2 linked regions of the Stegostoma tigrinum genome follow. The protein of the gene in region 2 interacts with the protein of the main gene of each other region in a pairwise test. Links are inferred from orthologs where the notes say so. Each region holds a gene or a part of one and is shown on either strand. Other genes may lie near its edges.

Region 1 (7,730 bases), on a different chromosome or scaffold from region 2:
GTGAAAACATTGCCCCATGGGTCTGTTTTAAATCTTCCCCCTCTTACCTCAAAACTATGTCCTCTAGTTTGAACTCCCTTACCCTGGGGAAAAAGATCTTGGCTATTCACCTTATCTGTGCACATAATGATTTTATAAATCACTACATGGTCACTCCTGAGTCTCATATACGCCAAGGAAAACAGTCTCAGCCTGTGCAGCCTCTCCTTAAATTTGAATGCTTGCAGACTTGGTAACATTCTTGTAAATGTTTTTTACCCTTTCCAAATCAGAATTATACCTGGTAATGCAAATGAGGCCTTACCAATGTCTGGTACAATTGTTACATGATATTCCAATTCCTGTACTCAGAGTTCTGACTGATGAAGGCAAATGTGACAATGTCTTCTTCATGGGCCTGTCTACCCAGGATGCCACTTCCAAGGAGTTATGTACCTGCCCTCCTAGGGGTCTTTGTTCAACAGTACTCCCCAGGGCCCTACTATTAACTATGCAAGTCCTGCGCTGGTTTGCAACACCTCGCATTTATGTAAATTAAACTCCATCTGTCACATGTGACAACAAGACAGTGGCCCAGAGTAATGGTGATCTGCATCAACTGAAGCTTCTCAGCAATGGCTTCACCCTCAGGCCGGGGTTGTTGGCCAGAAAGTTAACTAACATGGCGCAGTTTCTTCGCTCTGGGGTTGTACTGGATGACGAAGCTCTATTGGTCATATCCTGTGTCCAATGAGGTTGTTGTGGATTCTAGCTGTCACACCTTGGAACTGACAATCGATGAGTTAAGCATTGTATCCCCTTCTTATGAGAATCTTTAAGACCAAAAACTTTCCTTCTCATCTGAACATCTCCCACATATTTGCACATATTCCCACATATTGCTTGTCCTTAGGTGATGGCTTCTGTATTACGTTTAGGGTTGAGCTAGAGAAGTGTAGCATTGTGAGGTTATCCACAAGCTTGTGGCAGACTAAAGTACTGAGGTGTCTGACCTTGATGGAGATGCTTGTGTCCAAGAATAAGATGGATTCTGAATAGTCCATGGTAAGTCTGATTGTGGGATGAAACTTGTTGATATTGCTATGTAATTGTTATAGTGAAGAAAAGAAGGAAGAAAATGTCATTGATGTATCAGGTGTATAACATTGATCGGAGGTCCTGCACGGCAAGCAAGTCTTGCTCGAACTTGTGCATGAAAATTTTGTCATATTGCAAATTTGGTCCCCGTGTATTCCATGTGTCTGGATGAAGAACTGGTTGTTGAATGTGAAGGCTTTGTGGTCGAGAATAAAGCTGATGAGTTGTAGGACGGTGTATGGAAATTGGCAGATGTTGGCATTGAGTACTGACACTTAATACTGTTGGACAATAATGTGGTGTCATGTGAGTTCTGGCTTTGCACGCCCCAATCCAACACCAGCATCTCCACATCATCGTGGTTAAGTGGACCTGGTGAACTGTGACAGACCAGATTGGTGAAGTAGGTGTGGTCAGTGTGAGGAGGTGGGCTTGGTCAAGTGGGTGTGGTCATGCTTAAGTGGGCATGATCAGTGTGAGGGGGTGGGCCGCTGTAGAACGATGGGGATTTGGTAAATATGAGAAAGGAAGGAGCACATGCTGGTAATGTACGAATACAATAAACTCCGGTGAAATTAAAACGAAATATTGAACTTGCCTGACGACGGTTACATCGAATGTCATTTAGTTCTGATGAAATGAAACTGGACTCAAAACTAACTCAGCTTTCTCCCAACAGATGCTGCCAGGCTTGCTGATTCTTGCCAGCAAGTTTTGATTTTATATCGAATATAAGTGTTTGTGTATAATTCTTGATCGAAACCAGCCAGAAGTTCGAAGAACTTCTGTTTTGCTCTTGATTTACAGCATCTGCAGTTCTTGCGGGTTTTGTTTGTAAAGGCAGTCGTCTGTTATCCAGCTAACATGTTAGGGAACTCCCCAAGGTCTTCCTGTTTCTCCTTTTTGGTTTTCTGAAGACTGCACTCTGACTTTGAGCCCTTGTTGGTTTACTCGATGCAGGTTTTGCCATGTCAGTGACACATCTGAATCCTTCTAGCCAGTGGACATGGGATGACTGCTCACCTTCGCCTTCATTTTCGTTCTTTCTAGAAACAAACTTTTATTTTTCTTAACACTGCATTATTAATAGGGTACATGTGGTTTCAGATACAAAAACAGAAATTGAAGAACAAGGAGTTAATCCCAGAGCTACAAAGTCCAAACAGGTAGAGTTGAGGAGGGGGTAGTGGTCACTGTGGGGCAGAGGAGTGCCTTCTCCAGTACTCCTCCTCTTGCTCGTCTGTGTTGTTTGGAACAACATCGGCAAGTCAGATATGTCAGGAAGTATCTCCGATTTCCTCTTTTTCATCAATTCAGCCTGTCACTCTAATCCCTGTTCTCTGTTTCGTCTTTCCCGTTCCAGCTTTTCTTGTTTAACCCTTTCCCTTTCATTCATTTCATGATCCTCACTGAAACTGCAGCTTTAAAACCTCAAAGGTTTTTGGTTTCCATTCATTATCACAGGCGCTAATCCCTCTTCTACATGTTATCCACCCAACTGGTCAGTTTTGCTTTCTCAGTCGGCTCCTCAGCTCTTTTTCTCCAGGATGACATTAAACCTTTCCATTTGCTTCCCGCATTACATTTCCAAATGGCCTGTCCGGCTTTAATATATTGATCAACGTCCCACGTTCCCTTTAATGGCCAATTCTTTTTTCCCAATTTTTTGTTCAGGCTCCCTGATGAACATCTTGAGTCGCTCCTCGTCCTTTGGGTTTTCGCAATGCATTTTATATAATGGATTCTATCCCCTGACCTATTCAAAGTTTGACCCATTGTTAAATAACCTTCACATATTTAGAACTCATCTAAAATCTGGAGGACTCGAACTGCAATCTATACCGACCTAGGGACCCACCCCTGGACACCGAGGAACTCTAACCTCCCAGAATTAGTTTGTCAATCTGTACTGACCTGGGGACTTGAAACCCAGTCACCGGGGGACTCTAACCTCGCAGAATTAGTTCATCATAGCCTTGGTGACTCTAACCTCCAGGCATAGGTTCAATCAGTGTACAAGACCATGAGTCATCTCAGGGTTCCGTCAGTACAGAGCCACAAAGGGGCCACAGAAGTGGTAGGTTAGTGAGAGAGACCAAGGTGAATCATACCTTGTGGGCCTGGCTCATGCCACTGACACTCAAACGATCACTTGTTCAGTCCTCCATGTTAGACCTCTGTACATGTTGGAAACCTACTCGCTGGGCCAAATGTTAGCTTTGTTTTTCAGAGACCCTCACAGACTTGATGCAAGAGCAAGACACTGACCTGGTTACAAAATCTCTTTATTATTAGTTTTTTATTATTAAGTAATTACAAGCTGCGGAGGATTGCTGTACACAGCCCAGCACAGAGTGCTGAGTATCATGAGCGATTCTCCCCAAACAGGGGACAGTCCCCACTTTTATACCCTTGGAATTGGCAGACACATAAAACAATTAGTACGTCTGAAACATCACGAGTATGTGGTCATGCTGCTATAACGAGAAGAGGATACAGCTTTGATCGGCACCAAGTGTATGATAGCGGCAGGATGTGATTTCAAGTGGTGACAACTGCCTGGCTTGATCAAAGGTCACTGACCTGGCCAATTCAGCAGAAACAGGGGTAGGCGGCAGCATGGGCAGAGCCATAAAGATTACAGAGCTTAATGTTTTTTGTGTTTACAGATGTTTCACACCCAATCCTATTTGGGTGTATACCCCTATATGACGAGATAAGGAGCATAAAAGTTCATGGGATGTTAACTCATTAACATCTCACAGAGACCTGAAAAAAAACTAACAACGACATTGCCCACCCTAAACCCTGTTTAAATGCTTCAGTGGCAGCACGCTGGCACAGTGGTTAGCACTGCAGCCTCACAGCGCCAGGGACCCGGGTTCGATTCCTGCCTCGGGCGACTGTCTGTGTGGAGTTTGCACATTCTCCCCGTGTCTGCGTGGGTTTCCTCCCACAGTCCAAAGATGTGCAGATTAGGTGGATCAGCCATGCTAAATTGCCCGTAGTGTTCAAGGGTGTGTGGGTTATAGGGGGATGGGGCTGGGTGGGATGCTTCAAGGGGTGGTGTGGACTTGTTGGGCCAAAGGGCCTGTTTCCGCACTGTAGGGAATCTAATCTAAATGGGAGGTGCCGTAAGAGATGGTTTGGGGGCGGAGCGGAATGGGGCGGGGCCAGTGTAAGGGGCGGAGCCGGGAAATGGGCGGAGCTAAATGTCATAACGGGGTAGGGTCAGTGGAAGGGACGGGGTGGGATCTCACGATGGAATGAGGCCGGTTGAGGAGGCGGGGCCGGAGGAAGGATCAAAGATGTTCCGCCTCTTGTAGTGACGTCAGGTCATGCCCGATGCCGGTCGATGAAAAGAAATCGCCAGTCGTCTCCCGTACCTCTATCACGTGATTAATATAACAACAAAAACCGTGAGGTGAATTGTTGAGGGAACCAGTACAGAGAAAGGAGGGAGAGGAAGTTAAGGAAAGGTCGGTGCATCATCTCCCACAGCCCCTTCCCAGTCCAGCTGGCAGTTTAGGCCTACTCAATCGGGTCTAACGGTGGGATAACTCAAGCCCAGCGCCCCTGTAACGGCTTATATCAACAGTGGTAGCAGGTAATGTGTATCCGCACCGACTGAAGCTTTGAATTCTTGGCAACGGCTTCACCCTCTGGCCTGGTTTGGTGGCCAGCGGAGTGCTGACTAACCCGGTCTCATTTGCTCTTGTCGGGCGACAAGTTATCCGACTTACCATCTTTAATCTTTGTCATCAAATCATCTCTTCTCCTTCCCTGTCGCCTCAAGCTCCGACATCCGTTCCGGACTGCACGGTGCCGAGTTTCATCTTGAAGCCTTTCTTCCTCAAAGTGCTCTGGAGGACCGGTCAAACAAACCGAAACCCACTACCTGCTGCACTGCAAGTGTCCTTAATCTCACCTGTCTTTTCACGGCATCCAATTCTTCAGTCTGTTGGCTGTGGGAGGCGATTGCACTGAATGATGAGTTTTCCGAGGTCTGATCAGTACTGCATATAAACTTGGTTTAATATTTCAATATATTTTAGCTCAATATTTAATACCTCAGTTTTTGGCCATGGTGAATTGTCTATGCCCAACATCACTCGAAAGTTACGCTGTTGATATAAATTGATAGACTCTCTGAGAGTCTTTGGACTCGAAACGGTAACTGTTTTCCTATTCCCCAGATGCTGGTAGGTCTGCTGAGTTTCTCCAACGCTTCCGGCTTTAATTTGATAGTCGCTGACACCTGAGCATCAATAGGGATTAGTTCTGCTGGAGTTGTGACTTTAAGGTAGGGGGCATGTGAAATAACTTTTTGGAAATGAAATGTGAGTTGATCGTGGGATTGATTTAATAGAGAAGAAAGTTATAGGCTGCTGAAACATATTAGCTAACCAAATGTTTCCATTCTAGAAAATTGAAATAATATTTTGTAAATCAAGAATCTTCTGCCATCAATCTTTTACCACTTGACCTCCAGAGTCATTGGCTTGATAGCAAGTAATGTAATTTTAGGTCTGCTAGAGCATATCATTTAATGTGCTTAAGCTCTAATTTGAATAAATTATCCATTATTACTGATGTAACACATTGAACATTACATTTGGAGGCTTTAAGTAGAAAGCTAAGGATTTGTCTGGCATTCTTCCAAACTGACCATGCCAGTTTTGTTACCGATGTTTATTTTAAGGAGATCATTTCAGCAGACAGTAAGAAAAGTTTGAAATCTCTTGGTCAATCTCTACATGACTCCTTCTCTTGGGACTGAGGGCAGTAGAAATTTCCTTACTGACCTAGTCATCCTCACTGAAAAGGGTAAGTCCTGGTATGGATGGGAATAGTTCCCTTATGATACCACTGCCAAGAGATTGTTTCAAAATACGCAAACTCCAGCCTTTGAGCAGTTAAGTGAATCTAAAAGCAAGGCCAACAAATCTTAAATACCCAACAGTGAGAATACGCCCTGATTTCCTGAAGTTTACTTCTTTTTCCTATAAAACTAAAATAAAAATATTATCAACCACAGCACTGTGACAGTCGCCAAACAAATTGCATCAAGGGCTTTCTTTTTATAGATTTCCTGTTTTGTATTCTGCCTAGTTAACAATTGGAACAGCTTCTTCTTGTTTCTGATCCAATAAATATCGTGAATTAATGTCAGATTGGAACAGCTTTGAGTGTATTCTGGAATGCTGGATTAGGTGAATTACTTTGTTGAATGCACTTTGTTTAACATAAGCATGAGATCATAGTACAGACCTTTAGCAGTTGGAAATCCCCAGGTTTTAATAGTGAAAGTACAGCACAAAGGACTGGTTTTGAATGTTATTTTATGATGTAATATTTATTTCTGTGTCTAGTACACAAATTATAGTTTTGAAAATAAAAATTGATCTAAAGTACAAAAGATAGTTGTTTCATAGTAGAAAGTTGAGTATTGCTTTAAAAAGTCACATCCTGTTTAAGCTTTTTGTCTTGAAATTTTTAAGACATTTCAAGAATACAAATTCAAGTGAAAAACCTGTTTAAAATTTTAGCACTACTCAAATCTAAATACTTCTTCGAAAACTTTGGAAAATAAAAGCCAGAACTCTAAATGATAGAGATGAGGCTTAGTGTTGTCATAGACTTAGAAATAAGGATGGGGAGTGTAGAAAGTGTAGTGCATGTGAAAATATTAAGAGAAAGACAGATTCATAGAACTTAAAAATGTTGGACCTTCGGAAGAAAGTCAATGAACTGATGGCACAAATAGTGACAAATAGATACGAACTAGTGGGGATACTGAAACGTCATTACAAGAAGTTCAGAACTGGGAGTTAAATGTCCAAGGGCACACAGTATTCCTAAAGGATAGGCAAGAAGGAGCAGGAGGTGGAGTTGTTTTGGTTAAGGATGACGTCAACGGTGTATTAAGAAATGATATCAGAACCAGGGACTAAAATGTTGAATCAGTCTACGTGGAAATAAAAGCAAGGGAAGGAAATCCCTTGGTAGGAGTACTTTACAAGTCTGTGAACTTTTCTTCTGAAGTAGTGCAAAGTACAAACCAGGAAATAATGAGGGCATGTGAGAATGTTATAAACTATAATTGAGTAATTTGAGCATGCATACTGACTGGATTAATCCAATCAACTTAGCAAGAGTAGCCTTGAAGAAACATACACTCTGAGGAATTGTTTCTTAGAGCAACATGTCATGGAGCCAACCAGAGAACTGGCTACTTTAGATTTGGTGATAGCAAGAACTGCAGATGCTGGAGTCAGAGACAACACAGTGTGGAGCTGGAAGCACACAGCAGGCCATTTCTGAAGAAGGATCCTGACCCGAAACATCAACTTTTCAGCTCCTCTGCTGCCTGGCCTGCTCTGTTCCTCCAGCTCCACGTTGTGTTGACTTTAGATTTGGTGTTATGTTACGAGGAAGGATTGTTAAATGGACTTGTAGTTAAGGATCCTCTTGGAAAGAGTGACTACAACATGCTGGAGTTTCAAATTCTAATTCAAAGTGTGAAGATAGAGTCACATACAAGAGTTTTAGTATTGGGCAAAGATAATTTATACAGGCCTATGAAAGGAATTGGTCTGATTGGACTGGACAAAAACATGTTGGTGCTTTTGAGGATGAGAGCAGTGAGATAA
Region 2 (7,547 bases):
AATTATGTGCCAATTAACAATACTTATTTACCAGTCACATGGAAATAGATGCAAGGTATACACTTGATGAAGTTTCATTACTTTAAGTCTAAAGTATGATTATTTCTACCTTACGGGAAATCCAAACAACTTAATCCATAACTTACTCTGCTCTTATTATTGTGATCAGAGATGATGGGAATTGCAGATGCTGGAGAATCCAAGATAACAAAATGTGAAGCTGGATGAACACAGCAAGCCAAGCAGCATCTCAGGAGCACAAAAGCTGATGTTTCGGGCCTAGACCCTTCAGAGCCTGAAACGTCAGCTTTTGTGCTCCTAAGATGCTGCTTGGCCTGCTGTGTTCATCCAGCTTCACACTTTGTTATCTTTGTTCTTATTATCATCTATTATACATTTCACCCAATATCTACATGCCCTAATTACTAACGTAACTATGCTATGTTCTTTTATTGTTAATCAAACTCCACATTTTTAGTCTGGGTGCATTAATTGAACAAAAATAAGGTTGTAATGCTGGTGAATGACAAACTGATAGTGTCTCTTTTCTCACAATATTGCAGAAGCACACCTTGTGAAATAATATACTGCCACAATATGATTTTCAAATAACTTATGTTATAGTTTAGGGTAATATTGAAGGTGTAGTATATCAAGAGAAATGCCACCTTTTGAATTACACATTAGAATTAATCTGATTGAAAGTAAAATACTCCATTGCACCTTAAAAACTACTTTGTTGACTCTGAAATATGCTGGAACATCTTATACTTGCAAAAGGTGCTTGTTAAAAGTAATTCATTCAGCAATTTGCCCATCCACCAAAATCAATTAACTAGTATTTTATCTCTGCTGTTTGTAGAATATTACCATGTGTGAAATTAATTTGCATTTGCTTTGTATGAAGTCACGTAGAATTTGTAACAAAAATAGAACCATTTAGCCCATCTATGTTGACATTCACTCTCTGTATAAATCGTAGTCCACCCATTTCCCATATCACTTAGTTTTGTTCATATACTTAACCGGCTTTTAGCTTTCATTTTTATTGGTTCAATTGTTAAACATGTTTCAAAACTTCACAACCATGTCCAAAATAATTCTGTGCATTTAGTCTATTTCCTGTAACTCTACACCTGTCAAAACATAAAAACAAATCTACCCTGTCAGATTCATTCATAATTTTAAACACTGCTCTAAATACCCTTTAATGTTCCTTTCTAATGAAAACGGTTCCAACTCTTAAACAGAACACAAACATAGGGTCAAATAATAGATGTGTAAGGAAGAAAGAGCTAATATTTCAGGCCAGTGACCTTTCAGAACAGCCATCAATCCAAATGTTAATACAGCTCCCCTTTCTCTAGCCTGCACAGTATTTTGCTTTACTTTTCTTTTGAATTTGTACATGCTGATACCAGGCAGAATCTTAGTGAATCTGTGCCACACAATCATTATCACCATATCATTTTACTATCTATAGAACTCGAAATAGTACACATAGTCCAAATGTAATCTTGCTGAAGTTTTATATACGTTCAAACTACATTTTGATTTTTATATTTAGCACATCTTGCCTGGGAACCCAGTATAATCGCATGTTTACGGCCTTACTCGCGTGCAAATGAAAACCATTTTCTTTTCTGTATCTCTTAGATTTACTCAAACTATAATTGTCCTGCCTACCCAAGTTTACTGATATTGCTTCACTTCTTTCGCCCAATGTTAACGCTGCAATAATAGCCTCTGATACTCTCAATCACAGGATTACAAATCCTACTTGTATTATCTGGTCCCCTTATCTAAACAGTTGGTTGTATACTGAGGATACTAACACACAGTATGTAAATATAGAAGTGCATATGTTTCGTGCACTCTTCCTCACTTGAGTCCAGCAGATTTTGCACAGGGCAATCAACATAAGTGACCAGTGTCTCAATGTACATTTGCTTTCCGCAGAGAGAGAATCTCAGACACCAGGTGAAACAGAACTGCGAAGGGTCTTTTCCAATCCTCTTCACAGTCGATCCAGCCTGCAGTTCACGAATTCCGATCAATCCTGCTTCGCCCACCCGCGCCTGTTTCCCATCTGGGCAGGACCTGGCTACATTATGAAAGAACAGCAGCCACTCACCTCCACGGACCCCCAGGATCGAGTGTTGCCCTCCCAGCACAGTGCCAGCGCCCCGGGAGCGAGGTGGTGACAGGTTATTGAGCAAACCGGCCCTGTTCCCCAACCCCGAGCGTACACCCAAACCTGCCGCCAACTAGAGCCTCCCGTTCCGCATTCGCCCACTGCTTCTATCATGGAGCTTATTCATAAGTATTGACCAGTCCATGTACAGCCGCGTACTCTTCACGCTCAACCACCTCAACACCGACCTCCGGTCGATTGACAGGCCAATCAGCCAATCAGTGACCGAGACCGCCGGCTGCTAGCCAATGGCCACACAAAAAGCGACCAGGGCAGCGTGACAGATCCCGCCCCCGCTCCTTTGTTTGAAGTTCGGAATCGATTATCTCCGTCGTTCCTAACGGTAAACAGTTCCAATCATGGAAAGGAGAGAATCCGAACCCGTGTTCGAACTTCAAACGGGTTCTTTCTGTCATCTCGCCAACGGAATGAGGTTGAATCCTTACCGCCACCGCAGGTGAGCTGTTAGCCGTTATCGTTCGTCCTGGAGATTTCTGTTTCCCACCGCGCGCTGCGCTCGCGATTCCACCGGCCCCCTCCCAGAGTCGAGCCCCGCCCCAACCTCTCGTGCCAGCCCAACCAAGATTTCCTCCAGTCAAGCGGAGAGTTTGCAGCTATGCCGCTTCTCGATCGGCAAAACTTCTTTGCAGAGGCGGGTGATTTCATGCCCAGCAGCAGGCAGGTTCTGAGAAATCATTGTTTCTTGCCTGTCTTTTCGGTTGTGTTTTTTTTCCAAAGAGCTCCGATACACATGAGCAGGATGCACAGGCCCGGATAGAGGCAGGAGCGGTGTAGCGGATCGTTCGTGACTGTTCCTGGAGATGTGGGTAAGCCATTCCCTCCCTCCCCTCCCACCTCTGGAAACTTGCCCGATTTTGTACATGGGGCCCTACTGGCGGCCTCGTTGAGCTCGGAATTTTGATTTGGGAAGACCGCTGGGCTGGCTGCATTGGAGGCAGTAACACAGCAGGGTGGGGGGAGCTGGCCACGGCCATGACAGGGAGCAATACTGGCTCTTCACTCTCTTGGGCAGCGCATGGGGCACAAGAGGAGACGGTGTTAAGACTTCTAGATTTTTGTTCTAAGGGCAGCTGAACCCACAGTAGTCAAGGACCCGGTAAATGGATGATTATTTTCACCCTGTACTCCCCTTCTAATGAGGATCAACATCCAAAAAACCGTGTGAACACAGCAGGCCAAGCAGCATCTCAGGAATGCTCCTGAGATGCTGCTTGGCCTGCTGTGTTCATCCAGCCTCACATTTTATTGTCTTGGAATTCTCCAGCATCTGCAGTTCCCGTTATCTCTGAAGTCCCGTGTGCTTCGTTTAGGGTGTATCACTGAAAATGGCATTAACTGACTAATCTGGAGAACCAGTGCTCCAGGAAGCTGATCATTGAGATTTGTAGTTTCGTTGTGCGTAGCCATTCGGCCCATAATGCCAGTTGCAGCTCTTTAATTGAGAAATTCATCAACTACGTTAATCTCCCACAACATCCCCCCTCGCTCTATCTTATGAACATGTTTTCTTTCCATTTTTTGTCAATTATTTATGAATGTCCTTATTGAAACAATTTGCAACACCTTTTCAGGTAGTTCATACTAGATAGAAACTTGCTGCGTAAAAACAATGTTGTATCGCCTTACTTTGTGTTCTTGTGTCAGTCACGTTTAAATCTGTTCCCTCCAGCAACTGATTGTTTTGGCGCTGGAACCAGCTTCTTTTCATTCAATTATAACCTTTAATGAGTTTGCTCACCTTTATCAAATCTGTGTATGTATTGTTTGATGGAGTGTATTTTTCAGAAACAACTTTGTACAATGTTTTGAAATTTGTTTATCACAATAAAGAATAATCAAGTGCAACACAATTACTTTTGGGAATTTGATTTTAAAGTTTTATTTGGTTTAATAAAAATATTTGCTTTCAGGTGTATATTAAAATGAGCGCCTAAATGATGTTAATATGATGAATGCTGGAATTATGGTTAGGTTATGAATACTAGACTAATAATAAAAAAAAATTCATTTTCTTCTATTCAGCTGTGTTTGCATGTCTGTGTTTTCTCTCTGGAACTGTAAATCCTGACCAGGAGTGCTGATTTATGATTAACTGAATAGTTCAAATTTTATTTTTATTGCACGTACTTCTAGGATTTTTAGTTAAGCTAGGGAGACTGCATTCTGTTTGCAATTAGAGACATTGGTTTATGTTGACTAAATAAGTCAAATTTTGTTTATATTTAAGGGTTTTGGAAGCTTTCTTTAATGTTTTCTCATTAAAGTTAAAAATTTCCATCAGTTTTTCTATTTTAAAACATCAGTGATCTTGGTCATGCTATTGAACTGGATGGAGTTTATTTACTTAATATTAATAAAATCAAAAGTGTATGGCTTAAAATCTAATAATAAATGTGATAACAATATCCATTTATATTACCTTTAATACTGAACATTTCTCAAAACGCTTGACAGAACTAGAACATGCATGCAAACCTAAAGAATGCAACACCAGTTTGAAGAGCTTAGTCAACTTAATGTGTATTTGAAGAAAAATGTTGGTACATCAACTTCAATATAGATGATTATGAGATGTATACTTTGATAATTGGAATAAGAGCACATACATTTTCGAAAATAAGTATCCAACTCGAGTAGAAGACCAAAGAGATCTAAGGTTTACAGATGTAGAAAGTAGCTACACCAGTTAACAAGACCATAAAAAACTAACAATGCTCTAGCTTATTTTCTAGATGGAGGGAATTCAAAACAAAGAATTTGCAAGTAAAATGACAAAATATGTGATTCAACCCACTGGCTCCATGCTGGCAGGAAAATGTTATCAAATATAATCCCATCTTCCATTTCTTGGGCTGCAGCCCCAGTAGGTTATAACACCTCAAATGCATTGCCAAATATTTTTAAAATGCAGCGTTAGGGTTTTGCAGAGATTTGCAAGTCCACACTACCACCTCAGTGAAAAAGATTACACATAAACTCACCTGGAACCTTTGAATCAAATAGTTTTAAATCCATGTGCTCTCACTATGGAGCTTTGAATGGGAAATATGTTAATTTTATGCAGGTTGTCTAGACTCCCCTCATAACTTCCAACATGTAAATTAACTTGTCCTTCAAGCTCCTTCCAAATCAAACAACTATAGCCTATTCAATCTCCTTACTGCTCAAACTCATTGTCTTCTGCATACAGTAGGATGGTATCATACCCTTCCTATAGTGCAATTACCAGAACCATCCATAGTACTTTAACTGTGGTCTGATTGGTGTTTTATACGGCTCTAACCTAAACATCCTGCTTATTGGGTTGGCAACTGTTTTTACTGGAAGATCCTTCTTCAAAACAAAATTCTAAATAAAAGTTATTGTGAGTTGCAAAATGAAAAAATCATTATTTCTAAACTAAATGCTTAACATTTTGCCAAGTATTTCTGGTAAAATGCTTACGATGATAAAATACATGGGTTGAGTTTATGTATCAATATAAAAACATCAAATAAATATTGACCTCACTCTGAATTATGTTTTTATTTTACTGTTTTACCAGTAGAGTCAACTTTAGAAGAGCATTAACTTGAACTACATAAAATTAACAGTGTTTTCAGCTGAGTCACATGGTTAAGAAAAGCCTCTAATAGCATATTCGTTATAATTTATCATTCAAGCTATTTAAAAAGAAATTACAAACTGAAAACCTCTTCTCCAAACCAAAGGCATAATTTATAACCATGGTATAGCTATACCACTCAGACAGGCTTATTTAAGCATAATGATGTTTTCTCGTTAAAATGATCATTTAAATGGAGACGTGCAGTATAATGATTAGTTTTTTCACCCCACAATAAAACACAGCTCTACTCTTTTTGACTGAATGTTTTTTGGGCTCTTCATGTTAATACAATCCAGATTGAAAAGATTGGGAGATGTAAATAAGATGCTAAAGAGCTGCCAGGTTTCCAGAACTATAGGATTCAGATCCCTGATCTAGGCCTCAACCAGTAAAAGAAAGTTTCTTCCATGCCTTCTTAACTGCCTTGCTTGTCTGCCCTGCTTCCTCCAGGGATCTATAGATATAGACTCCGAAGATCCTCTGTACCTCCAAGAATCCTACCATTTATTAATTACTTTGCTGTGTTTGTCCTTTCCAAATACATTACTTCACAATTTTCTGTATTGAATTTCTTTGCCATTTTACTGCACATTTATACTGTCCATTGATATTTTACTTCCAGTTTCCTTTCTCACTATCAACCACAGAATCAATTTTCATTTCACTTGAAACCTTTTAGATCATGCCCCTACCTTTAAGCTGAACTGAGTCCTGCAGAACCCCACTGAAAATAGCTTCAATGTGCACCATCACTTAACTTGCCATTTTCTCCAGGGTCTCATCAGCTTTCTGTTTCCATTCTGCCATTGGAATTTTATGCTGAATCATTTAAAATGCCACAGACATGTATGGGGAGGCACATGCAGTCCTAAGATAGGGAAAGGATTTCAGTGGTGAGCATGTGATCAGCTGGCAATGTAGCAGGTATTGGTGAAACTGTAAAAGAACCTGTACAAAACATGAGATAATGGGAACTGCAGATGCTGGAGATTCCAAGATAATAAAATGTGGGGCTGGATGAACACAGCAGTGATGAAGGGTCTAGGCCCGAAACGTCAGCTTTTGTGCTCCTGAGATGCTGCTTGGCCTGCTGTGTTCATCCAGCCCCACATTTTATTATCTTGTACAAAACATGAGACTGTTTATCATTCTCCTGTCTTTGCACTGTCTTTGTGCCCTGAGATGGACTTACTCTGACACTGCCCTCAAGGCAGCTCGTTTTCTTACATTGGTTGACTTTCCACCACACCAAAATGCTGGATTTTCTTCATTCTTGCAAGCCTCCGACTCTGCTGTTTGATCGTCCTTGGATTCTTTGTTCCCTGTCCTCAATTTTACTATGTGCCTCTCTTTCACTATTGACTCACTCTTCCAGTTCCTGAGATTAGGTGCAAACTGCTGTTTGCTTACTCCTCACCATGTGATACAGAGATCAACAAAGAAACCGGCAACTCCGCAAAGGTGATAGTTGCATGACATGTTATATCAAAGGAAATTTGTTGCCACATGATTTTGCACATTGCTGACATGAAAATGGGGTATGATTTTTAAAAAGATTTAATGACGATGAATATTCCTAGCGTGCAAAAGTCTCACAAATAGGAACCTGCCACAGGATGGTGTGAGGCCCAATCCACCACAAACATCCTGTTGAGTTAATCTCTAAATTTGAACCTGCTGTCAGGAAAATGACATTTCACCTCCTACCTAATTAATTCATTCTGC

Evidence for each region. The genes of interacting proteins can lie anywhere in the genome.
Region 1: the proteins of sncaip (region 2) and NEDD8 ultimate buster 1 interact in a two-hybrid assay, tested with the Homo sapiens proteins (2 studies listed by BioGRID). The link is inferred for Stegostoma tigrinum from reciprocal best matches to the Homo sapiens genes SNCAIP and NUB1.

What each region holds. Positions count from the first base shown.
Region 1 is NC_081355.1:147,142,037-147,149,766, reverse strand, and holds the start of NEDD8 ultimate buster 1, read left to right. Parts: upstream 1-4,719; 5' UTR 4,720-5,064; coding exon 5,065-5,081; intron 5,082-7,730. UniProt on the Homo sapiens protein: Specific down-regulator of the NEDD8 conjugation system. Recruits NEDD8, UBD, and their conjugates to the proteasome for degradation. Isoform 1 promotes the degradation of NEDD8 more efficiently than isoform 2.
Region 2 is NC_081356.1:72,577,359-72,584,905, forward strand, and holds the start of sncaip (synphilin-1), read right to left. Parts: upstream 3,008-7,547; 5' UTR 2,641-3,007; exon of another isoform or gene 2,495-2,640; intron 2,371-2,494; exon of another isoform or gene 2,135-2,370; intron 1-2,134. UniProt on the Homo sapiens protein: Isoform 2 inhibits the ubiquitin ligase activity of SIAH1 and inhibits proteasomal degradation of target proteins. Isoform 2 inhibits autoubiquitination and proteasomal degradation of SIAH1, and thereby increases cellular levels of SIAH.